Linked DNA regions of Lonchura striata. The protein of the gene in region 3 interacts with the protein of the main gene of each other region in a pairwise test. Links are inferred from orthologs where the notes say so. Each region holds a gene or a part of one and is shown on either strand. Other genes may lie near its edges.

Region 1 (7,346 bases), on a different chromosome or scaffold from region 3:
GGGGATATTAGGTTCTTTCCAAAAGGAAGATAAACCAAGCTTGGCTATACAAGAAGCTGTAAGATTATTCTATGGATTTACTCCCTGTTTTGTCAGAGGCTTAAGTCTCTCTTCATCCAGCCAGTAACCACATAGGAAAGATATCATCCCAAAGGGCTTTACGAAGTTTTTCACAAACAGTACACCAGAGTCACTTCTAGTCTTTAAGTGAGACAATTCTTCAGAGAGGTCCAGCAGCTGTTTAACACTTCACAAAAATAACTTGGCACCATTTCACCAGGGAAGTGAAGATGGCTGCATCAAAATGAAGTCAGAGGGGAACTTGGGTGGCCTGACTGCAGTGATGCCTCTTGGCATAGGCTCAGGGTGCCACAGCCCACACCACCCATCTGGAGAGTCCTGCAGGTCTTGAAAAGCCAGTGTGGAGACAGAAAAAAGCCAGCAGAGTAACACAGAAAGATGTCATGGTTGTGTCTGCATAAGAAGGCACCACTGGGCTCCCCACATCTGGGGACACCTGGGTACTCAAGGCCTGTGGGTGCACTGGAGGATGGAACAGCCCTGCTGCTCCAACACACACGTGAGCATCCACTTCAGGTTAAGGCCAAGGTGAGAGATGAGTGCAAGCCTGTGTTTTGTGCACATGGAAGATGGGGACCTTTGGACGAGAGTGGGGCAACCCTGGAGCTGGGGGCCTTAGGCCAGAGAAGAGTTCCCTCTGCTGCTACAGCCACTTTGCTTCCAGGAGCCCCTGGCAGGGAGGCTTCCACCCCACTGCTCAACTAGACATCTTTTAAATCTTTATCTTGCAAGATTTGTTTTGATGCCATCAAAATCTAAAATAGCCACAGGCACGAGAATAATCATACTATTAAAAAAACCCCATCAACATGAAGATGCAACCTCAACAAAACACCACAGAAATTCCTAATAAAATAAATGCCATTTAAATGCTGCTATACATAAACACCAGCCCTACCAGTGCAACACTTAAAAGAAAATGTCTAGCAGTCTGCACATCAAATGTTAATACTATTTTCAAGTCAAGTCCAAGAGAGGATGACACATAATTTAATAAGCCTAATGGGTGTGTAATCAGCATTTGACCATTCCTGCCATAAAAGTAGGTGCCTTTCTAGCCCAAGATGTCTAGGAAAGCCACTGAAAGACAGCTAAGAATTTAAAAGCAAAATTTTAAAAGCATCCTTTTTTTTTTTTTTTTTTTTTTTTTCTCATTGGAGATTTATTGAAAATTTCACTCAGTTAAGAACAGGACCCAACGAACTGGCAGAAATACAAACAACTCCATGGGCACAGTAAGTTTCACAGTAAGTTTGGGGCACAATTCACCTTAATTTACTGCCAACAATCAGCAATGTCAAGATTCCAAGCATCTCCTGACAGCCCTGACAACAGCAGTTACACAGCATTATCTAGTCTTCTAGTAAAATCTTTCCCCTCAGACAGCATTCATGCTGCATTTCACAGCAGCAGGAATATACACAGTCAGCCTGGATCTCCTCAGCCCTTGCAGCTAGAATCAGAACATTTTGGGGAGAGGGGGTGTCCTGTACCTGCTTTTGCCGCTTTTGCCACCACTCAAAAACAGAACTGAGCAGCAAGTGACAAAATAATGGAAATTGCCAATATATTTGCCTAACAAAAGGCAGAAATAATCTTAAAAATATCTAATCTGAGGGTAGAAAGTTTCATTTTAAGGTTTTTGATAAAGAATGCTCATTGTGTTTAGAAAGAGAATCCATCATCTCCTCTAGTTACATACTTGGTCAAACAATCCATTTTTTTGAATCAAAAAGAAAGATTAATTTTAAGATGCATTATAATAACAGTACACAAACGTATCACAATGTGATGCCTAGTGCTGTTTCAATGTTGTCACCATTTTATCTGGACAATTTTCATTACACAAGTTATAACAACTGAACACATTAAGCAAAAAAAATTTTTACAAAAAGTGAGACACTCCCCACCCCACAACTACTGACCAGAAATTTTCAAGTCCCAAACTGCATAGGAAAATTACTGTCTGTTAGTGAGTGTAGAAATTCTGTTTCATGTCTTCAAATATCTGTTGGGGTTTTAATAGACTTCAATACTTGCATAAGGATGGAGTTATACTGGGGGTGGGGATGGAGGAGGAGAGGGGGCAGAGGCAATACCGAGCAGAACCAATATCAAATAAAAAGTGCTAATTTTATATTCTAGCAATCACAGTTGCTCAAATGTTTGCAAGCTACAAACCAACCCCATCAAACTAAACAATATTCTTATTTTAAATATAATTCATAAGTAATTCTGCAGCTACAAGGTTATGAAAAAGACATGTATACTCTGCAGCAGCATATAAAATATAATCCTATGTACAATCCAAGCATCAATTTTCTCTTCTCTATCACCATCAGTATTTTATCTTGGAGGAGCATCTGTCAGATTCTCCAGGACTAAAAATAGCAAAGACCCTTTTAAAGAGAACAGTTTCTGGTTTATATTTATAACTACCCTGTACTCGCTGCTTCTGGCTGCATGGCTATGAAATTTGTGCAAGATATAATCAATTACCCAGCTTTGCACTTCATCATGCAGTTAAGCTACCGTTACCTGCAACGAACCCTTCAAGCACTTCTCCCCATGCACAGGGTAGAGATTCTAAAACACAATAAATATCTGCACATTGACGAACTAACTGTAGAGCTGACTGACATTACACAGCAAAAACCTTGTGAGAACAAAAACCAAGCACACTGATGTATAAAACAGAGAGCCTACCTGAATTCTTCAAATGCATACATGGCCTAGCAACTACACAAAAGCTCTGAAATTTAAAATAATCTTCTTAACGTGCAGAGGACCATTTAGTTTGTCAAACTGCAGCAAAATGCATAATGACGAGACAGTATATTTGGAATATTCTGAGGAGAAAGGGTATGCAGATACTGGCCTGCAGCCTACAGCTCAGCCAGCTGCTGACAAGCAGCAGCTAACAGGAAAAGGCGATAGAGTACCATGTGATCATTCCTGCAAGTCTGATTAATGCAGTATACTCCAAGAATACAGGCTGATATCTTTATTATTCAAGCCAAATAAGTCAAATATGGTACACGACAGGCTTCATCGCTAAATTATCATTCACATGCTACATCAAAATCAACAAGCACAAGCAGAGGATAATAAAAAACTAAATATATATCGTAACAGAAGAGATTAATTAGGCCCATTCAAGCTGATTTTCTTACCTTGTAGCGGTATTTTAGTCTGTTTTTATTCATCTAAACCATCAGTGATGGAACAAAAGACTCCATCCACAAACCTCCCCTTCCATGAATGCCAGAACATTTAAAGTAGTTTATCTGCTAGAAATCATTTCCTCTGTAGTCTATTCCCAACCACTTTAACTCCTTCAGCCCTGAACTCATTGCCATAAACCCTATTTGCAGGGCCGTGCGGGCTTTCTAGGGTTTACAGGGTTAACACCAAGAAATCGCAGCAGTGCAAGTGAATGAAGTGGGATAAGAGCCAAAGGAGTCATATCTGCGAGATCACAGAAGGGAGATGGGCATGAGGAAAGTTGAGCATTTCGTGGCATTGCGGTGTGCAGGCGAGGATGCTTCAGCTGCCTAGCAACAGCGCACGCAATCTCCATGGCAACAGCGCAGCCAGCGCAGGGGGCAGAGCATCCGCTGCGCACCCCGGGGGCGACACGCGGGGACAAGCCCGGCGACACGGCCGCCAAAAGCCAGGCCCGGGGCAGCGGGAGGCACGGGGCACGCCGGGCTCGGGGGAGCCCCGGCCGCGCTCCGGAGCGGCTCGGCCAGGCACGGCACGGCCGCGCCTCGGAAACACCGGCCCGGCAGCCGGGCGTGCGGAGCTGGAGCGAACACTGCGCACCGCGCCGGGGAACGCACCCCGACGGCGGCAGCCAGAGCTCTCCACCCCCGCAGCAATCCCGTGGGAATTCTGGACATGCGGGAGTCGCACCCCATCGCCCGTTTGCTGAGGGACTGCACGGGTGTTAGCTGTGAGGCTGCAGGGGCTCTGCCCGGCGGCCAGGTCAGCGGCGGGATGGGAGGTTGAACCCCGGGGCCGGGCACGCTGCGCCAGCCTCAGCATCAGCCACCACAGCCTGCGGCCACCCAGCACTGCCTGCTGGCTGGAGAGAAGGTGAAAGGTGAGGGCTCCTGGAAATGAGGGAGATTCTAATCCTGGGAAATCAACCCCAGCCCTGGGAAGAAGAGAGAACGAGGCTGTGGGAGAATATGCTGCATGGGAAAGTCGCAGGGAGACAGCAAATTCAAAGCTACCTCTGGGGCTGCCCCCCTCCTTGACTTGCCTCTTTTACTGCTAGGGCTGGTTTCTAGCACAAGGAAACACAAGGAGGATTTTGGCTGGAGTCTGAAATAGCCAAACCAAACTACAGCTCCTGAGATTTACATGCTCTAAGGCAATGGCTGTCCCACTGAGCTGTGGGATTTGGAGACTGGAAAAGCATCCACAGGGTACAGACTGCCACATCTCCTAGACACAGTGATTGGGTCCAGGCCATGGTAACTGTGGCATCTGACCTCATGGCTCTGAGAAATACAGGCAAAAAGGGCTGGGATGAAAGGAAAAGGCACTCATGGCAAAAAAACCCCAGCACTGGAAACAAACAAACAAAAAAAAAAAAAGTCACATTAATTTGAGACATAGTGATTTTAATGTAGTAGTGACCTTGGGTTTCATTTTATTTCCTTTAAACAAATGTGATAGTGTTAAGTGACAATAAAGGCACGCCGTAGGAACACTAAAACACATGCAGTCACACCATCTGACAGAAATTAATTCTTCCACAAGCATCCAGCAAGAGAAGGACTGCAAGGTAGGTGATTCTGGCTACAGCCTAATAAAAGATTAAAATTGGCAGAGAAAAGAACAACGCAGCCGTCAGAAGAAGCCGCCTGCCATATTTAGGCTGACTTCACCACAAGTATGCTCACTGTATACAGCACCCAAGCAGCTGGGCACGGGAGAGGTACCCCTTGCAAGCAATTTTTCTGCTCCTGACCTTGTAGGAAATAGTTTTATACCTTCAGAGCTAGCCAACATCCCTCATGGAGGAAGGACAGAATTCTGAGCTTCTCTTTTCTCGCTCACCACAATCTTTCTCTAGCTTGAATCAAGTAGAAAAGGGCTAGTTTTCACTTAAAACATGCTTCTTTTTTATGGTGTTTATTTAAAATAAAACCATTCTACAGAATTAAGAGCAAACATACTGCTTCCCCTAAGCATTCTTCTTGAAACAAACTTGACAGAATCACTATTGAGTCTTCCAATTTCTGCAGTTTCTCAACAGCCACAATGCAATGAAATAGTTAACTGTTCAAGTCAAGGCTTCTGTCATCAGTGGGTTCACTGTGAAGGACTAGAAAAGCAAACATCCTCCACAAAGTTTTCATATACAGTAGAGGTCAGCTGTTGAAAGGTTTCATTGGGATAACATTTTAACTTTTTTTTTTCTTGGCTAGCACTTTCACAACAGCTGACAGCATTACACACAGAAACAGCAGGACTTCTGTCATGTGAAACAACCAATAGTCTCAATTCTGATTCATTAATTACTAGGATTCCCATATTCAATAGTAAGATCTGAGACCATCATGTCCTCCTGTAGACATGAATGAGCCTCAGCATGAAAATTTACCAAACAGAACACACAGGGGCTTCAGAAAGTCACATGAACACATGCAATGGCCAAATTAGGCCACATAAATAAATGCAAGGCTGTAATACTTCCTTATAACTTTTAACCAAGGCTGTAACTTCCTGTGCCATAAACCAGACTGAAGATCTTGAGAAGCAGACAGAAATTATGTCAGAAACCACAATCAGCAATGACATTTTTCACAAGAAGCTGTTTATTCCCTTCCTGGCAGTATAACCAGTCCAGACATTTGATGACAAATGTCCCTCTCTTTACCAGAAACTGAAATTATGTCACATGAAAGAAGAATTTACTAAAGATTGAGTGGGATAATTTATATAATGAGAACTGTGGGACCCAGACCCCACCTTCTGATCAGAGGCCAAAAAGATGTGACATTGAGTGTCCCTCCCACTGAAGACAAGCAGAAGGTTTTGGGAAACACTTTGCAATTTTAATGTTGGGCTCTAACAAACAAGAGAGACGATAATAGAAGTGGTTATCCTTGGTGAAAGCTTGTCTAAAAAGCAAAGGATGCAAAAAAAGCCTGGAAGTATGACAAACCAGAACAAGGCAGAGGATATGGTGAAATTTCTTGTTTTATCTGGCATTTCACTGCCATCCAAGGGCCTCATGCTGCTACTCTGCTAAGAGCCCAATATCCTCAAGTGTAACATCTTGCATTATTGTTATTTAGCATATCAATGTATCAGTATTTGTCCTCCTGACCTGAAATTCCACCAAAGCCTTTGCCAGATGCTTGGTGACATTATCTGATCACAGACAGACATTTTAATGAAATAACTACTTATTCCCTTGCTCAAGAAAGGAAGAAAGCCACTAACACAGTGGACTTCTGTCACTAAGCCTGCATTACCATTATGCTGAAGTAATATTCAGACCACACTAAAAAAAACCCTGCAACTGTGCTGAAAAATTCAGCATTCACTTCAATTCATGAGGAAGAAAACAAAAAGAAGGGAAATGAGCCAACAAGAGCATATCTAATGAGTGTTCATTCACTGCATCTCCAAAATTACTGCACAGAGGAAAATGTAGCAATCACAGGCAGCATCCCAGAATATACTCAAAAATCTCCTTTCAACAGGATTGTCTCTGAATTCAAACATCTTTCCTGAGCTTAAAAAAATAAGATTTTAAATGTTTATTGAAACAGAAAAGGAGTGGCTACCTTAGTTTGTTCAGGTACTGGAGAAATTGTAAAAATAATTGCAGTGCCCTTAAGTTTACAGAACAAGGATGTGTTCAGTATTGGAGTATTGACTCAAAACTTCAGCTGTTAAAGAGGAATATGGGTGGGGCAAGAATGAACTTTTTTTCCCCCTTCTTTTATCAATGGTATTTCTATTATATGTTGCATTAAAATACAATGTGAATTTTGATGCACAAGGAAAATCCAACATACTTCAGGCTTCTTCTTTCACTCTCAGGTTTTCAGATTGACCATAAAAGCTTGATTTTCTGATGTCAACCTTCACCAAAAAAATCCTACCTCATTTATACATCTTGGAATTATCACAGCCCATGAATATTGAAAAAAATAAAATTTTTCCCTCTCAACTTTGGCCCAAGCATGCTTCATGCTTTTCAAATCCAGGGTTTGAGATTCCTGATCACAGGATGGCTG
Region 2 (7,627 bases), on a different chromosome or scaffold from region 3:
ACAGGATGGCTTTTAGATGGAGATGGATTCTCCCCCGGCTGGTGCAGGGAAGGGTATGTTTCTCACAGGATGTTTCTACCAGAGCACAGTCTCAAAAGGAGATGGTGTTGATTATCACTGTCCTGCCTTGGGACCTACAGTTTACCTGGAGAACACAAAAACTGGGAATGGCTGCAAGTGGGGTGTTATGTATGAACATTCTCTCATTTGTGTGCCTCTCTCCTGCTGTTTTGTTGATGATCAGTATTGAATGTTGCCAGTGGGATGGTGGCAGCTTTTTTCCACTGCTGCTGCTTTTCCATAACAAAGTTTCTGCTGTCAGCAGCTACAAGATTTTTGCTGGATATACTAGTTGGCTTCAATCTCATCCTGCTCTGAAAGCAGGAGTTTCTTTTCTACTCTCTTGGGCTATATAGCTGATATTAGGACACCAAAGAATCCCACTTATATGGTGTTTGTGTTTCTGTTCTTGAGCTGGTATGATTTGTTTCTCTTTACAATTTTGTAGTCCAAGCCGTTTTAAATGGCATTTACTTGATTATGATCTGAAAACAGAACAAGCCTAGTGACCAGAGCTATGTGTGAGTTTGTTCCTAGTGTACACTTAGGGAGGTGTGACTGCAGTACACTGCAAGCTTGAAGCCTGAGGGTGGGACACAGAGAAAGGTGTGCTTGTAGATGCACACTGGAGTCAGCTACAGATCTCAGTGACACAGTTTTATGCAGCTGTCCAAGACTAAGGCTTTTTTAGAGTGCCCTGGCCCCACCAGGGTTAATATCAAATGGGGGAGCTGGGTTTCATTGCTTGTCTCAGCTTTTCCACCTGTAAGTTATCACTTGGGATGCTAATTTTCTTACCACTCTTGTCATATGTTAAACATTTTTAATGCACTAGTCTTAAAATGTGTTGAATAAAAAAGGTAACAGGCTGATTAAACTAAAACTTTATTTGTGTGACATTGCTGTTTCATTTTTGGGCACTAGTCTTAAAATGTGTTGAACAAAAAATGTAACAGGCTGATTAAACTAAAACCTTATTTGTGTGCCATTGCTGTTTCATTTTTGGGCTATGGCATCTTTCCTCTGTATTTGGTGTCTCAAAAATTATAAGAAATTAATTCCTTTCTAGTTGCATTTGATTTGCTATATTTTAAAATGAATGACATACAAATTATATATATCTTTAATATACCTTTAGAAAAATTTAGTGCATGTCCTTTTGTTGTAATTGCAGCAATCACTGAAGAGGAGAGGAAGCAAAGACCTACCAAAAGAAAAAAAGTCACAACAGACACCAACAGAGGTATGTTGCAAGTACCTGTAGCCTTGATTCCTATGTGGAGACTTCAGGGAACTATGGAAATGGGGTACATGGTTTACATATTTGCACTTGGCTTGCTTTATGCTTTGCCGTTTGTTTTCCTGTATGCTGTGAAATGGAAGAGCTTGTACCCCAGATCTGCAGTCAGACAGCACTAATCTCAAAGACCATCTAAACAAACTTGATGATGCAACAGAATGTACCAGCTTTCACCTACTCTGTATTTTTAGGCAAAGTAAATGGCAGAAACAGTGAAACAAGATTTATAGGCTCTATTTGTGTTGACTTCAGGATTTTTGAACACTGTAGTCTGATAATGTTGCAAGCATAGAAAATATAAGGTTTTTTGCAAGCCCCCCTTTTCCCATCCCCCAAAGTACTTCTGGGAACTGTGCAAATTTTAGTCACAAGTAAAATAGTATTTTCCCCTCTTTTAATTTATTGATGAGTGAAAAAATATTGTAGGAAAATATCATAGTATCTAAAGCCATGTACCTGTGATTGTTAATCACAATTAATTACAATTGTAGTTGTAAGTTAAGGCGATCCACTGGAGGTCTTCTGTTTGACTTCAAGTTTCTTCAAATACTCCTTTTTTTTTCCCTAAGGATGACAATGAAGACCTGAAATGCCAGCTACAGTTTGTCAAAGAAGAAGCAGCCTTGATGAGGAAGAAAATGGCTAAAATTGATAAAGAAAAAGACAGATTTGAACATGAGCTGCAAAAATACAGATCGTTTTATGGGGATTTGGACAGTCCTTTGCCAAAAGGTGAAGCAGGTGGGCCCCCTACCACAAGAGAAGCTGAGCTCAAGCTTCGATTGAGGCTTGTGGAGGAGGAAGCTAACATTCTTGGGAGGAAAATAGTGGAACTAGAAGTAGAAAATAGAGGACTGAAAGCAGAGCTTGATGATTTAAGAGGAGATGATTTCTCAGGGACCACTAACCCGCTCCTGGGAGAGCAGAATGAATCCCTGTCAGAATTACGACAGCATTTGCAGCTAGTAGAAGATGAAACAGAATTGCTGAGGAGAAATGTAGCTGATTTAGAGGAACAAAACAAACGCATAACAGCTGAGCTGAACAAATACAAGTACAAGTCTGGGGCCCATGAGAGCTCTAGGCACCACGATAATGCCAAGACAGAAGCATTACAGGAGGAGCTAAAAGCTGCACGAATGCAAATCAACGAGCTGAGTGGCAAAGTCATGCAGCTCCAGTATGAGAACAGAGTCCTAATGTCCAACATGCAGCGCTACGACTTAGCCTCTCATCTGGGTATCCGTGGCAGCCCTAGAGACAGCGATGCGGAAAGTGATGCAGGAAAAAAGGAGAGTGATGATGATTCCCGCCCCCCTCACCGCAAAAGGGAAGGGCCCATTGGGGGGGAAAGTGACTCCGAAGAGGTGCGCAACATTCGGTGCCTGACACCCACAAGGTCTTTTTATCCAACACCGTCTGGGTGGCAGAAAAGCTTCACTGACAGGCAGCAGATGAAGGACATTCGCTCTGAAGCGGAGCGGCTGGGCAAGACAATAGATCGCTTAATTTCCGACACGAGCACCATCATCACAGAGGCGAGGATTTATGTGGCTAATGGGGACCTCTTTGGACTGATGGATGAGGAAGATGATGGCAGCAGAATACGTGAGCACGAGCTTCTGTACCGGATCAATGCGCAGATGAAGGCCTTCAGGAAAGAGCTCCAGGCTTTCATCGACAGACTTGAAGTTCCAAAGTCTTCAGACGATCGAAGTGCAGATGAACCTTTGTCAGTGAGTCAGGTAGACTTTTACTTATTACGGCCTACAGGTAAAAAGGCTCTGCCAAGCAAATTAAACCTCAAATTCAATCTATGGCACAAAAAGAAAATTCTTTATTCTAGGCAGTGGACAAAAAACACTGTTTCTTATATTACTTGAAATCCTCATTTGGCCATATGGAAACATATTCTACCAACAGAGTTTGTGAACAGTGAATAAATCTGATCAGAAAATCAAAATTATGCTCTAGGAGGTAGACCATTTTACTCCTTTCTGGCTTTGCAATTGCATTTGATAGAGTTGGGCCTTCATTGCCATTAAAAGCAGTGCAAACAATATTTTTGGTACATATGAACATGATTCATAAATGGACATTATTGTTTTCTTAGTGGATGGGTTCCTATTAAATAAATAAAAGGAAAAATTTATTAATTTAAAGCAAGAGGAAATACTAAATTTCAAAAACTGTAGAGAATATGGCAAACCACAGATTAAAAGAAACCATGCAAATCTACCTTATGGAGTCACAGAGCCACACAGTAATGTGAATATTGTAATTGATGTAATAGATTGCATCTTGTTGAAGGCCTGTTAATCATTGCTTGCATGCAGCAGTAGCAAGCATCTTTGTTGTGGTTTGTTTTTGCACAGAATTTTTTCAGAGAGGTTTTGGGGAGCAAACTCCTTGCTGACTCAAGATCTTTTGCCATGAAAAATGAAAATTACCTACCCTTATCTTATCATGCAATCCTATTGTTGGCATATCTTGTTATTGCTAATGAAGTTATCCAATGTTTTGTCTCTTGCTGTGTTAATTTACTTTGTACTGTCTTGCTAATTTACAGTCAAAGTAGTTGCCAGGTGAAGCTGAAAGCTGTTCTTATTCCTATGCTGACTAATTAGTCTTTTGTTTCCTTGTATCAGAAAGTCACAGACGCAGTGAGTTTAAAGCTAATCAATTACTATACATGTATTGCATGAAATCAAACAGAGATGGCATTTAGCATGCTCACTTTCTGATTTAGCAGTAGTTCTGAGCTTGTGGAGCTCCCATTAGCTTAAAGGCAGAGCACTGCATGGACCTACACAAATTTAAATCAAACTAATTAGTATTTTCTCTAAAAAAATAACAACAATTGAACACTTAACAGTTGGACATTTCAGGGCTTGACCACGCAGAACTCCTACTGAAGTAAATGGGAGATGGGCACTTGGTCCCTCCACAAGCATAGTCTGATTCACTATTTTTTTTGTTGAAACTTTGGACTTGCTATTCCATTAATTGACTGTTCTCTTTGTCTTTGTATTTACTTTCCCAGATGTTCCAGCCTATCATTTTACTTATTCTCATCCTTGTATTATTTTCATCCCTTTCATACACAACAATATTTAAACTTGTCTTTCTTTTTACACTGTTTTTTGTACTGTAAGTCATTCATCATTTACTGTTCATTGTAGTGTTATTTTCAGTTTGTTTATTTTGTCCACCCTCCAAGATAAGAAGTACAAGAGACATAGTTTCCGTAATAGCCACTGCTGTAAAAACACTGAAGACTACTTGTTTGCCAAAACCAAAGCCAAACCAAAAGAACTGCAGAAAAACATACCAAAAAGTCACCGAGTTGAATAGGAAACCTTCTCACTGTGGTATTCCAGGTAAGCAAACCGAAAATTGAATTTTTCAGTTTGTGTGGTTTTATAATTTTTGAATAAAAATTTCCTGAGGACTGGAACGAATTTAACATTCATTAATTTGCACCAAATCAGAAACAAAAGAGAAAAATGCGGAGTGGGTATGAAGACTCTTGTTACTTTTCTCACTCCTAGAAAAAGAATTTGTATTCTAGCCACATATGAATGGTAAAGCTACATTCTGTGTGTATTTTGCAGTTGTATATCAGAGCTTGTATGTATATTTTGCATAATTGTGATGATAATGTTTTTCAGCACTGTATTATGTACATTAGGCCCCAATCAAAATAGTTGGTATGTAGAGCACTATATCTGGAACAGTGGCCAGGAGCTGGAGCCTCTGTGAATGAGATACATGAGGAAAAGGTATCAGAGTAGCTGAGGAGTCTTCTGAGAGATATAGGTTGGCTGCATTCTCTCTGTGCTCTAGAAAAACAGCCATGCTGCAGTCTGACCTGGACTGATGGGAATGGTGTAAGTTACCTTGGCTGATGTCGAGTTTATCCGGTAGCATTTCCCAGTCTGTGGTCACCATGGCTCTATGTTCTCTCCCCAGATTTCAGCAGAAGTTTTGAATGGACATGGTAACTCTTGTTTTTGCTGAGTGACCCCTATCTAACTGTGCCATTGGTAGCCAGTGACCATAGTGAGGGAAGCTTGTGTACATGGGTGTGCATCAATGGTCACTGAATATTCCTTTCTTGCCTGGGAGAGGCTGAAATAAGAGTACAGGTGACTAATTTCTTTCTTTCACACTTACATAGCAGTTCCTACAAGCAGTAGATCTCCCACTATGAAAACCTCATCTGAAATGCCTGATGGAGCTCATTTTCTGTTTTATTCAACCCATGCTGAAACCACCAAGTTCCACAAATATGAATTCTTGAAATGTGAACAAGTATGTGTATTAATGACACTTCTTTTTCTACAGTTTCCATGGTGAATAATGTAGTAGTAAAGAGTGGTAATAAATAAAGCAGCTGTTTTTCTAGCTAGTGGTAAGCATCCCCTTTGGTTTATCATGTTAGCTCTCTGTTCATTCATTCCCCAGTGAGAACAGTTCATCTCCATGCCTAGGTTGTGCTCTGCTACTTTAAATAGTTGAAACATCATTTTGAGGGAAAATCCTCAGAGAGCGACAAGAGATGGGGCAATAAAATTTTTGTTATGTGAATGAAAAAAATAGTAAAAATATTCATTATTAAAAAATACAGTATTTTTCTCTTAGTCTAGCTTTTCCTCAATATACTCTACAAGTGCAGTAACCTTGATCAGATAAATCACTCAATTCCTTGATTTAATCCAAATACTTATTCCTATGAGGGGGTGTTGTCATCATTATCCATTTTATAGTTAGTGAGATGTCTGGAGGAAAATAGATAGCGTTGACTGGTTTTCTAGTAAGGGATAAAGCCAGGCCCAAAGTAATTCTGAGGAGCTTCTAAGATGTTCTAATTTATGCAGTTACATAAAATTAAGTTCCACATATTAAAAACTATTATGGCAAGATATGATCAAGCCATAATTCACAGTGAATTTCTGTAACTGGAAAAGGCCTTTTGTTTTTCAGCAGCTTCTGGAAATACTTGGAGTTTTTTCCCCCATGGATTTGCAATTTGGACATTAAATATACAACAATTTGAGCCTTAAACTTGTCATACCAAATCGTAGCACAAGACTGACTTTTTCAGTTTCTTTCTGTTTTAGTATCTCCTGTGGGGAAAAAAAATAATTTGTGTTTTCTTAAATGTTAAGAGGAAAAATCAGACTTAATCTATGATCTGAAGTTTTGGACTTCTAGGTTTTAACCCACTCTTGATTATACCTTTCTTGGTGTTGTATGTAATAAAAATGAGTAGGGAAGCTTTGATTTACAGTGAATGCATCAGTAACAGTAATACTCTAAAGTAGTAATACACTGAATTCATACATTGAATAAATCTTGAAAAATAATTGGGAAAGATTTGTTTCTTTCTCAGAAATCAGAAAAGGTAAGAATGACTTACTGAGATGAGAGGTGGAGATAATCTCCACACAGCACTGGCAATTACAACCCCATTGATTTCTCACTGTATTTTTTCTTTCATAAAACGTGGAGCTTTCTATCAGGCATCAACAAAACAAAATCAAAGCTGAGACCTTTTGGGACATTTAGGGAGCTATTGCACATGCAGCAGTCTGAAATTAAAGCACACTAAAGCATGCAAAATTATTTTAGAAGCTCCACACAGTCTTTGAATCTCTCATGAGCAGGGAGAATGGTGAGAAGCCTCACAGAGAAATCTCAGTGAGAAATTAGATGTGTTTTCCTTGTTCTTTTGCATTCAGGTTGAAGGGAGTGATTTCAGCTGCTGATCTGTTTCATGCCAGATATTTCACAACTTTAAAAGATGCTGAGAAAGCTAATAGAATGAGTATGGACATTTATCTATAGCCAAAAGATAAGATCTAGCCAATGAAATAAGTGTTCCATGTCTTGCTAAATTGAAATATCTTGATATTATGAAATCTAGTAATTATGCTTGCCAAGAAAGGAAGCAAGTTCTCCCCACTCAGTAACTGGTGGCCTGGTGGGTGAAGAGCATGTCACAGATGAGTGAGCAAATGCAGCTGAACACATCAGCATCCTCTAGCAGGAGTGCATTAGAGTCAGGCAGGGCAGAGACAGCCACAACACTGCTGATTCACTGATCTGCCTGCTGCACAGTTTGGAGTTCTGAAGACAAATAGTGAGAAGAATACAGATTTTGTTTGCATATGGGAAGGAGCTGGATATGCCAGGTTACCTATCAGTTGAAATCTCATTTAGCAGATTCACTGTTCACATTTTGGAATATTCTAGTGAAATATA
Region 3 (7,663 bases):
AACCCTCCCGTGGGGGATTTCTGGTGTGGGGAGGATCCGTGGGGCTGGGGGCCTCTGAACCTCCCGTGTGAACCCTTCTGTGGGGGATTTCTGCAGTGGGGAGGATCCGTGGGGCTGGGAGGGCTCTGAACCTCCCGTGTGAACCCTTCTGTGGGGGATTCTGCAGTGGGGAGGATCCGTGGGGCTGGAGGCTTCTGAACCTCCCGTGTGAACCCTTCTGTGGGGGATTTCTGCAGTGGGGAGGATCCGTGGGGCTGGGGGCCTCTGAACCCTCCCGTGGGGGATTCTGCAGTGGGGAGGATCCGTGGGGCTCCAAAAACCCATCCCGTGGGTGCCTTCTGGAGTGGGGGAGGATCAAAGGAGCTGCAAGGCTTCCAAAGCCCTCCTGTGGGGTTTTCCTCAGTGGGGGAGGATCCGTGGGGCTGAGAGGCCTCCAAAACCCTTCTGTGGACAACCTTTCAGAGCTGGGCAAGGCTCCATGGGGCTCTGAGGCTCCCAAAGCCCAGCTGGGAAAGGCTCTGTGGGGTGCCCCAGAGCTGAGCGGGCACGGACAGAGCCCACTGCCCCGTGGAGGAGGCACCTGAGCCACCTGTGAGCCCCTCAGGGGGTGCTGGGGACACCGGGGACACCGGGGACAGAGAAGCGCCACCCAAGCCCCCTGTGGGACCCCCGGTGCTGACCTTGACCCCGTGGCCGATGCCGTCCAGCACGCTGAAGTTGAGGGGTTTCCTGTAATAGGGCTCCAGCACGGGGGGGTTTGGGGGAGCCACGACCTTCTGGCAGCTCAGGAACCTCGTGGCGACGGTCAGCGCGCCGATCCCGCGGCGCGACACCTTCTCCTGGTGCACGTCCACGCTCTGCCGAGGTGACACCGGCCCCAAAATGCCACCCCAGGCTGTCCCCCCCTGCCCCGGGTGCCACCGTCCCTGCCAGCCCCGTGTCCCTGCCCGGGGGGGAGGCAGGGCGGGGATGGGGGTCGGGATTGCCCCGGCACAGCCCCGATGTCACCGCAGCGGGGCCGACCCGTCCCAAAGCCGGGAATGGGGGGCGCTGCCCCAAGAGGGGGACGTGGGGCTCAGCCACCCCCGGGGCCGCAGGGTCCTGTCCCCTCCCGCGGCCGGACAGGCTCGGGGCTCGGGGCTCGGGGCGGCCCCAGCGCCGGGAGGAGCCCGGGTGGCCGCGGGGCTCTGCAGCAGGACGATGCTCCGAGCTCTGAGCTCCCGCTCGGAGACTCGGGGGCGGTTTGGGATTTGGGATGGGAAAACCGCCCCGGCACCAACCCCTGCCCGTCCCGGAGGTGGCTCCCCCGGCGCTCGCAGCCCCCGGCCGGTCCCACCTGTGCCACGCCGGCGATGTCGGCCTCCAGCCGGCGCAGCTGGGCCGCCTGCAGCTCCAGCAGGCGCAGGAAGGCGCCGGCCAGGCTGCGGACCTGGTAGGCGACGCTGGCCAGGGACTGCGTGCTCAGAGCCATCGTCTGCTCCAGCGCCTTCCTCTTGTCGCCGGCCTGCGGGGGACACGGCCGGCCGTGGGACGAGCCCTCCCCGCCCGGCGCCGCCGCCGGAGGAGTTTGCTTCTGCTTTCCAAATGCCTCCTCACGCTGAGCCCCGGCTGCGGGGAGCAGCCCGGGGTAACCCGGGGTTCCTGCCGGGAATGATGCCCCGGCACGGCCGGAGGGCACCGAGTGCCCGGCTCAGCCTCCGGCCACCCCTGGGGACAGCCAGAGGAGCCACGGGACAGCTGGGGGTGGCAGCAGCCGAGCGGGGCTCTCGGGGCTCTCAGCCGAACCGGGGCTCTCAGCCGAACCGGGGCTCTGTCAGCCGAACCGGGGCTCTCGGGGCTCTCAGCCGAACCGGAGCTCTGTCAGCCGAACCGGGGCTCTGTCAGCCGAACCGGGGCTCTCAGCCGAACCGGGGCTCTCGGGGCTCTCAGCCGAGCCGGGGCTCTCAGCCGAACCGGGGCTCTGTCAGCCGAACCGGGGCTCTCAGCCGAACCGGGGCTCTCAGCCGGGGCTCTCAGCCGAACCGGGGCTCTCAGCCGAACCGGGGCTCTGTCAGCCGAGCCGGGGCTCTCGGGGCTCTCAGCCGAACCGGGGCTCTCGGGGCTCTCAGCCGAACCGGGGCTCTCAGCCGAACCGGGGCTCTGTCAGCCGAACCGGGGCTCTCAGCAGAACCGGGGCTCTCGGGGCTCTCAGCCGAACCGGGGCTCTGTCAGCCGAACCGGGGCTCTCAGCCGAACCGGGGCTCTGTCAGCCGAACCGGGGCTCTCTTCGGCCGTGCCGGGGCTCTCAGCTCTCGGAATAGCTCAGCTCATTTCCCTCCGGTTCTGCCCCGCTGGCTCCGGGCCCTTGGGAGCCGCCTCGGGGCCGGGAGGAGCCACGGCCACGGCCCTGGTGGGCACACCGGGACCCCTGCCCGGCAGGGAGGGCCCGAGCGGGCATTTTCCTTCTGACTTCATCGCCTGAGCTCCTGCACTCGACCCTCATGGGCCAGAGAGGGAGGAGGATGAGGATGAGGAGGAGGATGAGGATGAGGAGGGATGCACCAGCAGAGCTTCACGCTCGCCCTGCGTGCGCAGGCCCTGCCAGGTGCCACCTCCCAGCCCCTGTGACACGCTGTGCCACCTCCCCAGCCCTGTGCCAAGGCTCCACCGAGCCCTGGAGATCCCTCCCTCCACCCAGACCTCTGCGAGAGCTGCTGGGGAGCAGAGGCCAGCCCGAGGCACGGGCAAGCAGCGCAGGGCGGCCGGGCCGGGAGCCGGCGGGGATGCTCGGGCTCCCGGGGCACAGCTCCAGCCGCCGCCCCGCGGGGCTGGCATCGCCCCGGCCCGGCCCGGCGCGGCCCGGCGCGGCGCTGACCTGCAGGTAGTTGCTGTGGCAGTAGTCGGCCACCCGCAGCAGGTTGCCGTGCTGCTCCCGCAGCCGCTGCCGGCCCGCGGGGATGTCGCTCAGCCGCAGCCGCTCCAGCTCCGACATCGCGCCGGGCTCCGCTGCCGCTTCCTCCCCGGGGCCGCCTTTTGAAGCCGCTGCCGGCGCTGACGCAGGGCCCGCGGGCGCCGCGGTGTCCCCGTGCCCCCGGGACACCCCGCCCCGCCGGGGACGAGCGGGGCCGCGGCCGTGGGGACAGCAGCCCCGGGGCGCGGCGGGGACGGCAGCGGGGAGGGCGGAGAGGCACCGGGAACCGGGGCTGCAGGGCGGGAGTGACCCCGAAAGGGTCCCGACACCAGAGGGATGCCGGCCCCTAAAGGATCCTGATCCCAGAGGGATCCTGATCCCAAAAGGATCCTGACCCCAGAGGGATCCTGATCCCAGAGGGATCCTGATCCCAAAAGGATCCTGACCCCAGAAGGATCCAGACCCCAAAAGGACCCAGACCCCAAAAGGACACAGACCCCAAAAGGATCCCGACTTCAGAAGGATCCTGATCCCAGAAGAATCCAGACTCCAAAAGGATCCCGACTTCAGAAGGATCCCAACCTCAGAAGGACCCTGACCCCAGAAGGATCCAGATCCCAGAAGGATCCAGACTCCAAAAGGATCCAGACCCCAAAAGGATCCTGACCCCAGAAGGATCCAGAACCCAAAAGGATCCTGACCCCAGAGGGATCCTGATCCCAGAGGAATCCTGATCCCAAAAGGATCCAGACCCCAAAAGGATCCTGATCCCAGAGGAATCCTGATCCCAAAAGGATCCTGACCCCAAAAGGATCCTGATCCCAGAGGGATCCTGATCCCAAAAGGATCCTGACCCCAGAAGGATCCAGACCCCAAAAGGACCCAGACCCCAAAAAGATCCAGACCCCAAAAGGATCCCGACTTCAGAAGGATCCAGACTCCAAAAGGATCCCGACTTCAGAAGGATCCTGATCCCAGAAGAATCCAGACCCCAAAAGGATCCTGACTTCAGAAGAATCCCAACCTCAGAAGGACCCTGACCCCAGAAGGACCCAGATCCCAGAGGGATCCAGACCCCAAAAGGATCCCGACCCCAGAAGGATCCCGACCCCAGAGGGATCCAGACCCCAAAAGGATCCCGACCCCAGAAGGATCCTGACCCCAGAGGGATCCAGACCTCAAAAGGACCCCGACCCCAGAAGGATCCCGACCCCCAAAGGACCCCGACCCTAACACCATCCCGGCCCCGGCCCTGCCACCTGTGCCCACCAGCCAGGAGCCAGCGCCGCCCTCCCGGGGCTGGGGCACATCCAGGACTGCTCGGAGCTCTCAGGAGCTCTCGCTGCCCTTGGCTGCGCGCCTCGCCCGCCCGGTGAGGGCAGAGGGAAGGGAAAGGAAGGGCAGGGAATGTTCCTGGATGCCGGGACGCTCCCGGTGCCCCTCCCGGGACAGCCTCTCCCGGCGCTCCGGTGACCCCCGAGGTGCCCGGCCCCCATGGCTGGCGACAGCGCGTCCTTCGCTCGGGACGTTTCACATCCCCGCAGGAAATTCCCACTTCCCCGGGGCTCGGAGAGCCCCTCCACCTCTCCTCTGCTCCTGCTCCTCCCCCAGGTGCTCCCCGGGAGCCTCCCGGGCCGTGTCCCCAGCGCTGGGCCGGGCGCTTCCTGAGCCCATCCCGAGGGAAATGATGGAATTCCTGCTCCTCGTGTCCCGGCACCGCTCCGAGCGGCCCCGGTGCCGCACCGAGCTGCCCCGGCACCGCTCCCCGAGCCCCGGCACCGCTCCCCGAGCCCCGGCACCGCTCCCCGAGCCCCGGCACCGCTCCCCGAGCCCCGGCACCGCTCCCCGTGCCCCGGTACCGCTCCCCGAGCCCCGGCACCGCTCCCCGAGCCCCGGCACCGCTCCCCGAGCCCCGGCACCGCTCCGAGCGGCCCCGGTACCGCTCCGAGCCCCGGTACCGCTCCCCGAGCCCCGGCACCGCTCCCCGAGCCCCGGCACCGCTCCCCGAGCCCCGGCACCTCTCCCCGAGCCCCGGTACCGCTCCGGGTTGCCCCGGCACCGCTCCCCGAGCCCCGGCACCGCTCCCCGAGCCCCGGCACCGCTCCCCGAGCCCCGGTACCGCTCCGGGTTGCCCCGGTACCGCTCCGAGCGGCCCCGGCACCGCTCCGAGCGGCCCCGGCACCGCTCCCCGAGCCCCGGCACCGCTCCCCGAGCCCCGGCACCGCTCCCCGTGCCCCGGCACCGCTCCCCGAGCCCCGGCACTGCTCCCCGAGCCCCGGCACCGCTCCCCGTGCCCCGGCACCGCTCCCCGAGCCCCGGTACCGCTCCGAGCGGCCCCGGCACCGCTCCCCGTGCCCCGGTACCGCTCCCCGAGCCCCGGCACCGCTCCCCGAGCCCCGGCACCGCTCCCCGAGCCCCGGCACCGCTCCGAGCCCCCTCGGCCCGGGACCCCTCCCGACCCGGGGGAAGCAGCCGGGACTCCCGGGGGTCAGTGCTGGGGTCAGTACCGGGGTCAGTGGTGGGGTCAGTGCTGGGGTCAGTGCTGGGGTCAGTTCCAGGGGTCACTCCCAACAGTCACTCCCAGGAATCTCTCCCAGGGGTCACTCCAGGGGTCACTCCAGGGGTCACTCCCAGGGGTCACTCCCAGGGGGCACTCCTGGGGTCACTCCCAGTGATCTTTCCCAGGGATCATTCCCAGGGTTCATTCCCATGGTCACTCCCAGTAGCCACTCCTGGGGTCACTTCCAGTGGTCACTCCCGCCACTCCGGGCAGGATCCAGACCTGCCACAGGCTCGGCCACTCCCCAGGCTCGGCCACTGTTCAGGCTCGGACACTGTTCAGGCTCGGACACTCCCCGGGCTCGGACACTCCCCGGGCTCGGACACTCCCCAGGCTCGGCCACTCCCCGGGCTCGGACACCGCCCAGGCTCGGACACTCCCCGGGCTCGGACACTGTTCAGGCTCGGACACTCCCCGGGCTCGGACACTGCCCGGGCTCGGACACTGCCCGGGCTCGGACACTCCCCGGGCTCGGACACTCCCCGGGCTCGGACACTGCCCGGGCTCGGCCACTCCCCGGGCTCGGACACTCCCCGGGCTCGGCCACTCCCCGGGCTCGGACACTCCCCGGGCTCGGACACCGCCCGGGCTCGGACACTCCCCGGGCTCGGCCACTCCCCGGGCTCGGACACTGCCCGGGCTCGGCCACTCCCCGGGCTCGGACACTCCCCGGGCTCGGACACTGCCCAGGCTCGGACACTGCCCAGGCTCGGCCACTCCCCGGGCTCGGACACTGCCCAGGCTCGGACACTCCCCGGGCTCGGACACTCCCCGGGCTCGGACACTCCCCGGGCTCGGACACTCCCCACGCTCGGCCACTCCCCGGGCTCGGACACTGCCCAGGCTCGGACACTCCCCGGGCTCGGACACTGCCCAGTGCAGGGCCGGGGTCTCCCGGGGTCTCCCGGGGTCTCCCGGGGTCTCCCGGCCGGACCCCCCCGCCCTCCCTGCCCGGCCCTCCCCGGCCCTCCCCGGCCCGGCCCCTCCCCGGCCCGATTAGGCCGGGCTTTGGGGCTAATTCCCAACACCTGACCGGCTTAGGCTGCTGAGCCCATTATCAGCTTAGCAGCAAAGACATCTGCTGCTCGGGGGCAGCGCCGGCCCGCAGCCTCTGCGCTGCCTCCATGGGGCTCTGAGCGGCCCCGGCGCCCCGGTGAGTGCCCCGGGGCACCGGGAGCCGCTTCCCCCGCTTCTGGGAGCTCCCGGGGCTGCCGGTGTCCCCAGGGATGTCTGGGCGCGTTCTTTTTTTTGGGAAAAAAGATTTGGGTTTCCCCAGCCTCCACACGCCAAAAACTCTCAGGGCAGCGCAAATAACGGAGCTCAGGGCGATGGAGGAGCCGTGCTGGGAAAAGCTGGGGGAATGAAAGCTGAGATGTTTTATTCCTTCAAAAAGCTGGGAGGATGTTCCTAGGCAGTGGTCAGGGCTGCTGGGGGGTCACAATCCACTGGCACACAGCAGTGATCCCAAAAATCAATGACCCAAATAATGCCTCAGTTCCAGGGCACGATGGCTCAGGACATGACCGAGAAGGAGCTGCTGAAGATGGAGCTGGACCAGCTGAAGAAGGAGGTGAAGAACGAGAGGCAGATGGTGAGTCCCTCACTGCAGGGAGGGAAAAGGAGGGGAGGAGAAGAACCCCAGGCCCAAAATCCACCCGAGGGGAGGAGAAGAACCCCAGGCCCAAAATCCACCCGAGGGGAGGAGAAGAACCCCGGCCCCCGAAATCCACCCGAGGGGAGGAGAAGAACCCCAGGCCCAAAATCCACCCGAGGGGAGGAAAAGAACCCCAGGCCCAAAATCCACCCGAGGGGAGGAACAGAACCCCAGGCCCAAAATCTACCCGAGGGGAGGAAAAGAACCCCAGGCCCAAAATCCACCCGAGGGGAGGAAAAGAACCCCGGCCCTGAAATCCACCCCCAAAGCCAGGCAGGAGCACCCACGCTGCCCCTAAAGCTCTGGGATGCCCTGGGACAACCCCGGGAATATTTGGAATGCTCTGGCAAATCCCAGGGGTGGTTTTGGGACTCCGCAGGGATCATTTGGGACACCCCAGGGGCGGTTTTGGGATGCCCCAGGGATGGTTCTGGCACACCACAGGGGCGGTTTTGGGACTCCGCAGGGATCATTTGGGACACCCCAGGGGCGGTTTTGGGATACCCCAGCCCAGGCTCGTGTCCCACTTGCCCATTGTGGCCCTGGGCTGGATCCCTGG
Region 4 (7,237 bases), on a different chromosome or scaffold from region 3:
CTTGATGTTCTGCTCTTCCAGGACTTTGAGCAGTCAGCTCATGTTGATTCATAGCAGGCTTGAGATTCAGACAGCAAAGCCATCTGGTTTTTTTTTTCCTTCTACAGGTATCCCACTGAGAGACTCAAAGTAGCATTCCTTTCAGAGATACCAGTAACTGCTGCCAAGTTTACAGGTGTTGTCCCATCTGGTTGGCCATCCTGGGCAAGGGTGTCAGAACAGGGTTTGGCAGCTCAATAGCTGGCTACGATATACACACCAGGAGTATGCTACTTCAATTCTGCAAAATAACACTCTTTCCCCTGCACCACCCTGTGCTTTGCCTTGCCTGAAGCCATCCATCTCTTATTTGATTGTGGCATTACCTGGTTTTTTTGTGAAGGAACAGCCACTGAGCTGCTGATGATTTCCAGGAATGCTCAAGACTGCCTCCATCAAAGTTCTCTAGACAAAGAAGTGTTCTAAAATACCAGGGGAAAAACCCCAAAGCAATTAACTTAGAGCTAAAAGTCTTGTCATCAGTGTTAAAATTCTCTATTTTGTGTCACTTCAGTCTTCAAGATGAGGTGATTGTGTATTTCTCATGTTAATATCTATGATTAATTACTCTGCTTGCTTACTTTGTATCTGTATGTACAGTTCTGCCTTAGCTGACATAGATCACCATGCTTTTGTATCATATATTACTATCATATATTAATTTGGGGAATGGCAAGACAGAAAAGGGATTTCAGTGAGGTTGGCAAGTATAAAGAGAGGCTTTCCTCCACAAGACAAATAATGTTAACTAGATAAAACCAACCTGAACACTAATCAAGACTGTAAAAGGGTGTAATTGAGACAAAGCTTAAATCTTAGCGAAACCTGTCAGAACTGGAGGCAATGTAACAATAAATATGGAAGAGAAGTAATCAATTAGGTGGAATTTCTGTACTTAAATGTAATAATAAATAAAAATTGTTTAAATGAAGAATTAAGAATGAAAAAAAAATCAGATTTACTTGAAATAAATCTTTGTCTCTACGGTTCTGGTCCTCTACCCAGGATCTTATCCATCCCAGTACTCATATTTTATTACTTATAAAAGGGCATTAAATATACAGCCCATTTATTTAACGAGTAAATAAAGACATTATTGAGATCCCATGTTTCTTTGTCCACAATTCTGTTCACACCTCTGATTCTCAAGTGAGCACACTATTCTTCACCCCAGGGTTCAGTGTGTATTTGTCTATTTTTATATTTTTCTCTTTTATCTTAATTCTTGGGGATTTCTGGGTTTGTACCCATGCTGTAGAATAGCATACTTCATGCACGACAAATACATGAACAAGTTGAAAGGCAGAGACAGATAGAATCATCTTTGTGATATCTAAACAAAATACTGTGAACATAATGAAATACTAAGGCGTTTGCATTAGTGTGTGAGCTTGAGCTGAAAGAACAAAATATAGACTCCTAACTACTGAATATAGACTCCTAACTACTTGACATCAGTGAATACGTACATATAAGCTACTTATTGATTATGCTTGCCTAGTTGGCATTAATTTTGATCTTTTTCACTCTAATCATATAGAAAAAGGAATAGTTGTGGATCTCCATCTTCCCTCCCCACCCCAACACCAGAGTACCTCCCTTTTATGATAGAAGTTTACACACACTATTTGATTTTTAGTGGAAAATACATAGAACTTCATATTTTAGAGGTAGTAGGTGAAGCCCAACCAGAGCAATTGCAGTCCAGTGAAGTAATGCAGCCTTATCATAACCATACAGGTTCTGAGCATTGCACACAACAAACTTTAGACTGTTGTCACTCAGACTAAACTTTTTTTAGCTCAGTGCCTTTACAGTAGCTTACGAGGTGGTGTGTGGGAAATGAGAAATGGACAACTGAGGAAGCTGTTCTTTTCTGCCTTGTGAGGCAGTATGCCTTGCTGCTACTCCCCTAGTAATGATTCATGCTGGGTTTCCTATGACTGTTTGTGATTGGAGGAGGTTTGCCTTGATATTTAATTTACCATGCTTACTTTTCCCATAGCTGATTACTTTTAGAGGTCAAAATGTTGAAACAAGAGCCTGTAAAGCATGCATCTGTAAATTAAAATAAGTTTTGGAAATATGCAGCCTGACTCTAGGAAGATCAGATTGTTAGGTTAATGCTTTATCTGTCTTTTATTCCAGCCTCTTAATAGGATATACTCGGTCACAGGTAATAGAGGTTCTATGAGAGGACAAGTAACTCTTTGTTAAAAACAACAGCTTTAACATATTTGGTTTTATCATGATTTACAATTCTGTAACACACACTGGTAATATTCTAGGCTTGTTCAATTTTTATGTGGAGATTGGTATATAGTATAGTATCAATATTTTCCTCTTATGCTCATTGTAGTTTAATATGCCTCTGGTAGCTACAACCTCACTTAAGCAGAAAATACCATCAAAATACTGAGATACCATGAAAATACTCCTAGCAAGGAGCATGTTCCACCTGGGGTATCCCAATGCCACTGGCAGTGTACTGGAGTAGTTAAACCTAATGTTTACAAATTGAGGGAATCTCAGGCAGTTAATGGAAGTATTTGCAGAATTTTAGATGAGGTATATCCCTGCAAGATAGTACATGATGCTGGAACTTGGGCAACTGTGATGGATTAGAAGCTTACTGTTTGCATGGCACAGCTGAAGAACTCAGCCAGATATTATAGGTCCTGTCCAGCTTACTTTCTTTTCGATAGTACTAGCGTGGATGTGCGGGAATGTACGTTTTTGGGGGGATAATTTTAGAACGGCTGCCGTGTTTCTTCCCCGTTCTTCCGGCAACGCTGTCTGTGTTAAGTGTCTGCAGGGTGCCTGCAGAGCACGGGGACGCGGGCCTGTGTTTTGGCAAGGCGGAGGGCCGGGCAGTTGCAGCAGCCACGCTCCGGAGAGGGCTGCGCACCGCCTTCGCCCGTGACTCCGTGACACCGGCTCTCCCCGCGAGCCGCTGGGCGCGGCGTTGCCGTGGAGACGGCGCCGCAGGGGCCGGGGGCGGGAGGAGGCGGCCCGGCGCCGCCAGCGCCCCGAGCCCTCCCCGCTCCGCTCTCCCCCCGCCGCCGTTCCCTATTATAGAAGAGCTTCCGGCGGCGTGGACCGCTCTGACATCATCCTCCGCACCCGGGTGACGTCAGCGCCGGGAGCGGGGCGTGACGTCGGTGCGTAGGGGAGCGCGGTGACGTGTTCTATTTAAAGCTCCCCGGGCGGAGGATGGAGGCAGAGCGGGCAGGTGCCGCCGCGGGCAGGAGCGCGCTGGCTGCGTGCGGCGCGGGGCTGTAGGGCAGGGCGCGGCTCCTCTCCGCTCTTCTCGTCCCTCGCTTTCCCTTCTCTTGCGTTCCCGTTCCCCGGGAAGGAGGAGCGGGACGGAGGTGCGCCCTCCGCGCGGCGGCTGCGCCTGCCCGCCGCGAGGGGACGAGCGGGCGGTGGCGGAGGTGTGAGGCGGAGGCGGGGGATACGAGCAGGCACAGGCAGCGGCTCGGTGGCGCCGGAGCAGCCAGGCACCGCCTGAGGCGGCCATCGCTCCCTCCCTCCGTCCCACCGGCGGGGCTCAGCCTGCGGCCCCGCCGCAGAACAGCGCGGGCTCGACGGCGGCAGCCCCTCCCGCCGCCCGCTGTCAGTGACCGATCCGCCGCGCCCCAGGACGATGCCCGCCCGCTTGCTGCAGAAGAAGGCGTGACGGCGAGGAGCGGGCCCGCCGCCGCGGGAAGGAGGAGCGGTGCCCCGCATCTCCGCAGCCGGGGGCGGGCGGGCGGATCGGGGGAACGCGGTGCCCCGGTGCCCGCGGGCGACGCGCGGCCGCAGGTCGTCGGTAGCGGCCTCTCGCCGGGAGTCCGATGCCAGCGCCGGTGCCACGGCTCGCTCTGCCTTCTCGGGAAAATGCATCCGTGCCCGCCACGCTGCTGGCGGCGGTGCTAGGGGGAGCGTCGGCGTGGAGCTCTGTGCGCACCGCCTGCCCCATCCCGCTCCGCCTCTGAGGCACACGGAGCCCTCCGCGGCCGCGCACGTCCCGGCGAGAAGCGCCGCAGCCGCCGCCAGTCCCTCGCGAAGAAGGCGAGCGCCTCCCCGTTCGCCTGCAGGAGGGGACTCGTCCGCCCCCGAAGCCATCGCTGCCGCCCGCCCGGGGCCCGGAGCCGCTGCCTGCGGGCGCCCGGCGGGGCCGGTGGCCATGGGAGCCCGGCCCGCGGGGGGCGCTCCCTAGGGCGCGGGCGGCCCTGCTCGGCCCCCGGCAGCTGCGGTGAGCTCAGAGCAGCGGCCCCGCCGCCACGGGGCTGCAGAGCTGCCAGCGCGGCGAGGAGCGCCCCGGGGACGCGGCACCACCGGTGCCAGGCGCTGCCGGCCGCCATGGGGTAAGGATGTCGCGGGGGCCGCCGGGCTGGTGCCGGGGCGGGGGGTGGGAGCGGCCGCCCGCGGAGCTGTGGGCGCTGCTGGATGCGCACGGAGGCGAGGGGTCTCGCTGGCGGGGGTGCGCCAGCAGCAGGAATCCTGCTGCAGTCGGTGCCGTGCATCAGCCCGGCGAGGGGAGAGAGAGCCCTGCGATCCGAGAGGGGCGCACCGCGAGCTGCAGAGGTTTGTCTCCGCCGTAGCCACATCGGAATTCTGGAAGAGCCGTCTCGGCTCCCAGTTCCTCACCGTGAGGACCTTTCCCGGGTTATTAGGCGATGTTCAGTCCTGAGAACGAGTGCTTTAAACTCAGTACGCTAGGGTGAAATTCCAGAACAGGGAACGTTGACTCTTCTGGAGTCTTCATAGAATATCGAACTACATGGGAATTTCTCAATAAATTGAAGGCTCTGAGGAAGTCGGCTTTACAGCAGGTTCCCTAGTAAACTAGGGAATCCACTTGAGATCTTAAGGAAATGAGAAGGAATAAAATCTGTAAAATTAGTCAGTTCTCATACAAATTAGTAGATAAAAATGTGACCTAGATACCTATGAAAAGTTTCCACAGTCATATCCTTAGGAATTTGTATAGTGATTTGAAAAAATAATCCAGACTGCCAGGCTTGTCTGATAGTGGAATGGAAACTCATCCATGTTCCAAAGCAACAGAAATCTGGTATGATCTGGCAAACTGCAAGGTGGAGGCAGTCTACAAAAGTTACAAATCATGTCCTTTGTATATTGGTCACTTAATAATTTGGATGTGAAATTGGCATATTACTGTGGGAGTTAGAGATGCCGCTTCAAGCTGTTTAGGACATTTGAATTCTTCAATTTATTAACTTTCTTGCATGTGTGGTGATAACAGCTGCATCCTTGTCTCTATCACTGGGGGGTCACAGGTCAAGATGTGGGAAGGAATGACTCTTTGCTCCTTAGGCTTGTTTTTATTTTTCTGTTGTCTTCCCTTCCATTAAAAAAATTCAAACGGAATAAACCCAGACTTGCAGCTGTCTACATATCCAAGAAAGTGATGTTTCTGCCAAAAGTCTAAATGATACAATCATTTTTTGGAATATATACTTAAAATTGCTAATCACACATAGGATTATATAAAATTAAAATAACGGAAACATTCTCATTGATTTAAAATGGATACTAATGTTTGTAGATATTTGGGTTAAGCATATCATATTACAAATCCACTGAACTGTTGAAGAGGAGCAAACATTTTGTCTCCAGAACTCCAGCTCTCCTAGTGTTTTAGTGTAATAGTTTCTTAATAAACACTACAAATCTCCATCTGTAGAGAGCTAAAAAATCTTAAAAACCACAGTTGTTGGTACAATGACTTGAGTAGTATCTTGGCAAATTAAAGTAAATATGCTAGCAAATATTTCAAAGATATTATATACAGTATGCTTTGGGGTATTGCAATATAGAATTCCCTTGCACACCACCTTCTAACAAGGAGGACAAACCCTGAAATGTAGGAATGTGTTACTGATAAGCCTGAATCTCTCTAAATTTGGCCAGGGCCAGCACCTACTTAGTGCAACTATGGTTAAGTATCAGACATCTCTTACTGTTCAGAGCAGAGGCCTTGATTTGATAGCTGTTTTGAATCAATTTCTAAATGCAGGTACCCATGGATTTCAGAGTATTTCTACACCAAGATTCACTGGGCTTTTCATTCAACAGTTCTCTTTAGACCTTAGTAGAGCTCCTATGCTCTACTAAGGTCTAAAAATTGAGCATTCTAGAAGCAAGTTGCAAAATCATTGGTAATTTAATGTACCTGAGTCACATGATGGTCTGTGTATTATATTCAGTATTTAATGAGTACTGGTATGCTGTGTGAGCTTGTAAACTGATCTTGTAGTACCTGGCTGGTGGAGAGCTCACCTATTTCAATAGTTAGAACACAGAAAACTTGGGGGAGGGAAGTTGGCTTACCAAAGCAGCAGGGGCTTTCTTAGTCTAATTACATATAATGAAGAATTCACTGTTCTGCTGGCGTAGTTCAGACTGTTCAACACGTGCAATACCATCAGGCAAGCCAGGTAATTATGCATTGGGTGTGTAGTGGAAACCAACCGGTGAGTAACTGGCTTTGGGCCAGTGCTGCTATTAAACATTTTTTTGGGAAACTTGAAACTAGAGAAACGTAGAGTAGTTCAGGACACTTTCTAATTGCTGTATCCTGTATGTCTGTGCGTGTCTTTTGTCTCACAGAAGGTAAGTGTATCGAGCCCTGTGGATTATATAGGCCAGACACACAGGATGTCCTTTCTTGTTTCTCTCTCTGCCAGTCTGTCACTTCTTCCAGTTCCTCATTCCTGTTGCATAAAAACAAATTCTTATCAATAGTTACTGTTGAGTCATATAACCATTGTGGACAACCTTTTGTTGGATTGACCACATACAATATAGTATTGTTTAATAGAGAAACATGGGTTTTGTGTTCTATCTTAGTTGATAACATGTATTCATATGTTCATTGCCAGTATTGCACAGTCTTCTTTGAGCAGAAATCTGATTGCATTAAAAATCCTCAAATAACAGCTCTGAAGCATAGTCAGGATTTATATTGGCAACTTAGGCTGTTGTATGCATTGAGCAGGTAAGTATTGTGTTTCAAGTTGGAAACATTGCTACATTTTTCTTGTTGCTACTGCTTGTACTTTGATCTGTGAGCAGCGGAAGTAGAGACAGTGATGCAGTTGTTGTTTAGGCTGGAATGAATACATTTCTTTACAGATACAATGGGGAAGACGCACAGCTGTGAAATCTGTTAGGGATGCAAAAATTGATG

The links.
Region 1: the proteins of ABI3 (region 3) and EVL interact in binary tests that used the Homo sapiens proteins (3 or more experiments, as listed by UniProt). The link is inferred for Lonchura striata from reciprocal best matches to the Homo sapiens genes ABI3 and EVL.
Region 2: the proteins of ABI3 (region 3) and KIAA0408 interact in binary tests that used the Homo sapiens proteins (3 or more experiments, as listed by UniProt). The two-hybrid records come from large-scale screens. The link is inferred for Lonchura striata from reciprocal best matches to the Homo sapiens genes ABI3 and KIAA0408.
Region 4: the proteins of ABI3 (region 3) and HOMER1 interact in binary tests that used the Homo sapiens proteins (3 or more experiments, as listed by UniProt). The two-hybrid records come from large-scale screens. The link is inferred for Lonchura striata from reciprocal best matches to the Homo sapiens genes ABI3 and HOMER1.

What each region holds. Positions count from the first base shown.
Region 1 is NC_134608.1:12,187,731-12,195,076, forward strand, and holds the start of EVL (ena/VASP-like protein), read right to left. Parts: upstream 3,006-7,346; 5' UTR 2,811-3,005; coding exon 2,788-2,810; intron 1-2,787. UniProt on the Homo sapiens protein: Ena/VASP proteins are actin-associated proteins involved in a range of processes dependent on cytoskeleton remodeling and cell polarity such as axon guidance and lamellipodial and filopodial dynamics in migrating cells.
Region 2 is NC_134605.1:61,603,808-61,611,434, forward strand, and holds the start of KIAA0408 (uncharacterized protein KIAA0408 homolog), read left to right. Parts: upstream 1-4,626; 5' UTR 4,627-4,740; intron 4,741-7,627. Other genes in the region: MTCL3 (microtubule cross-linking factor 3), read left to right, coding at 1,235-1,303, 1,930-3,105, 4,404-4,514.
Region 3 is NC_134627.1:7,978,495-7,986,157, forward strand, and holds the start of ABI3 (ABI gene family member 3), read right to left. Parts: upstream 3,002-7,663; 5' UTR 2,972-3,001; coding exon 2,855-2,971; intron 1,505-2,854; coding exon 1,337-1,504; intron 858-1,336; coding exon 681-857; intron 1-680. Other genes in the region: GNGT2 (guanine nucleotide-binding protein G(I)/G(S)/G(O) subunit gamma-T2), read left to right, coding at 6,958-7,041. UniProt on the Homo sapiens protein: May inhibit tumor metastasis. In vitro, reduces cell motility.
Region 4 is NC_134642.1:12,141,590-12,148,826, forward strand, and holds the start of HOMER1 (homer protein homolog 1), read left to right. Parts: upstream 1-4,233; 5' UTR 4,234-4,383; coding exon 4,384-4,388; intron 4,389-7,237. UniProt on the Homo sapiens protein: Postsynaptic density scaffolding protein. Binds and cross-links cytoplasmic regions of GRM1, GRM5, ITPR1, DNM3, RYR1, RYR2, SHANK1 and SHANK3.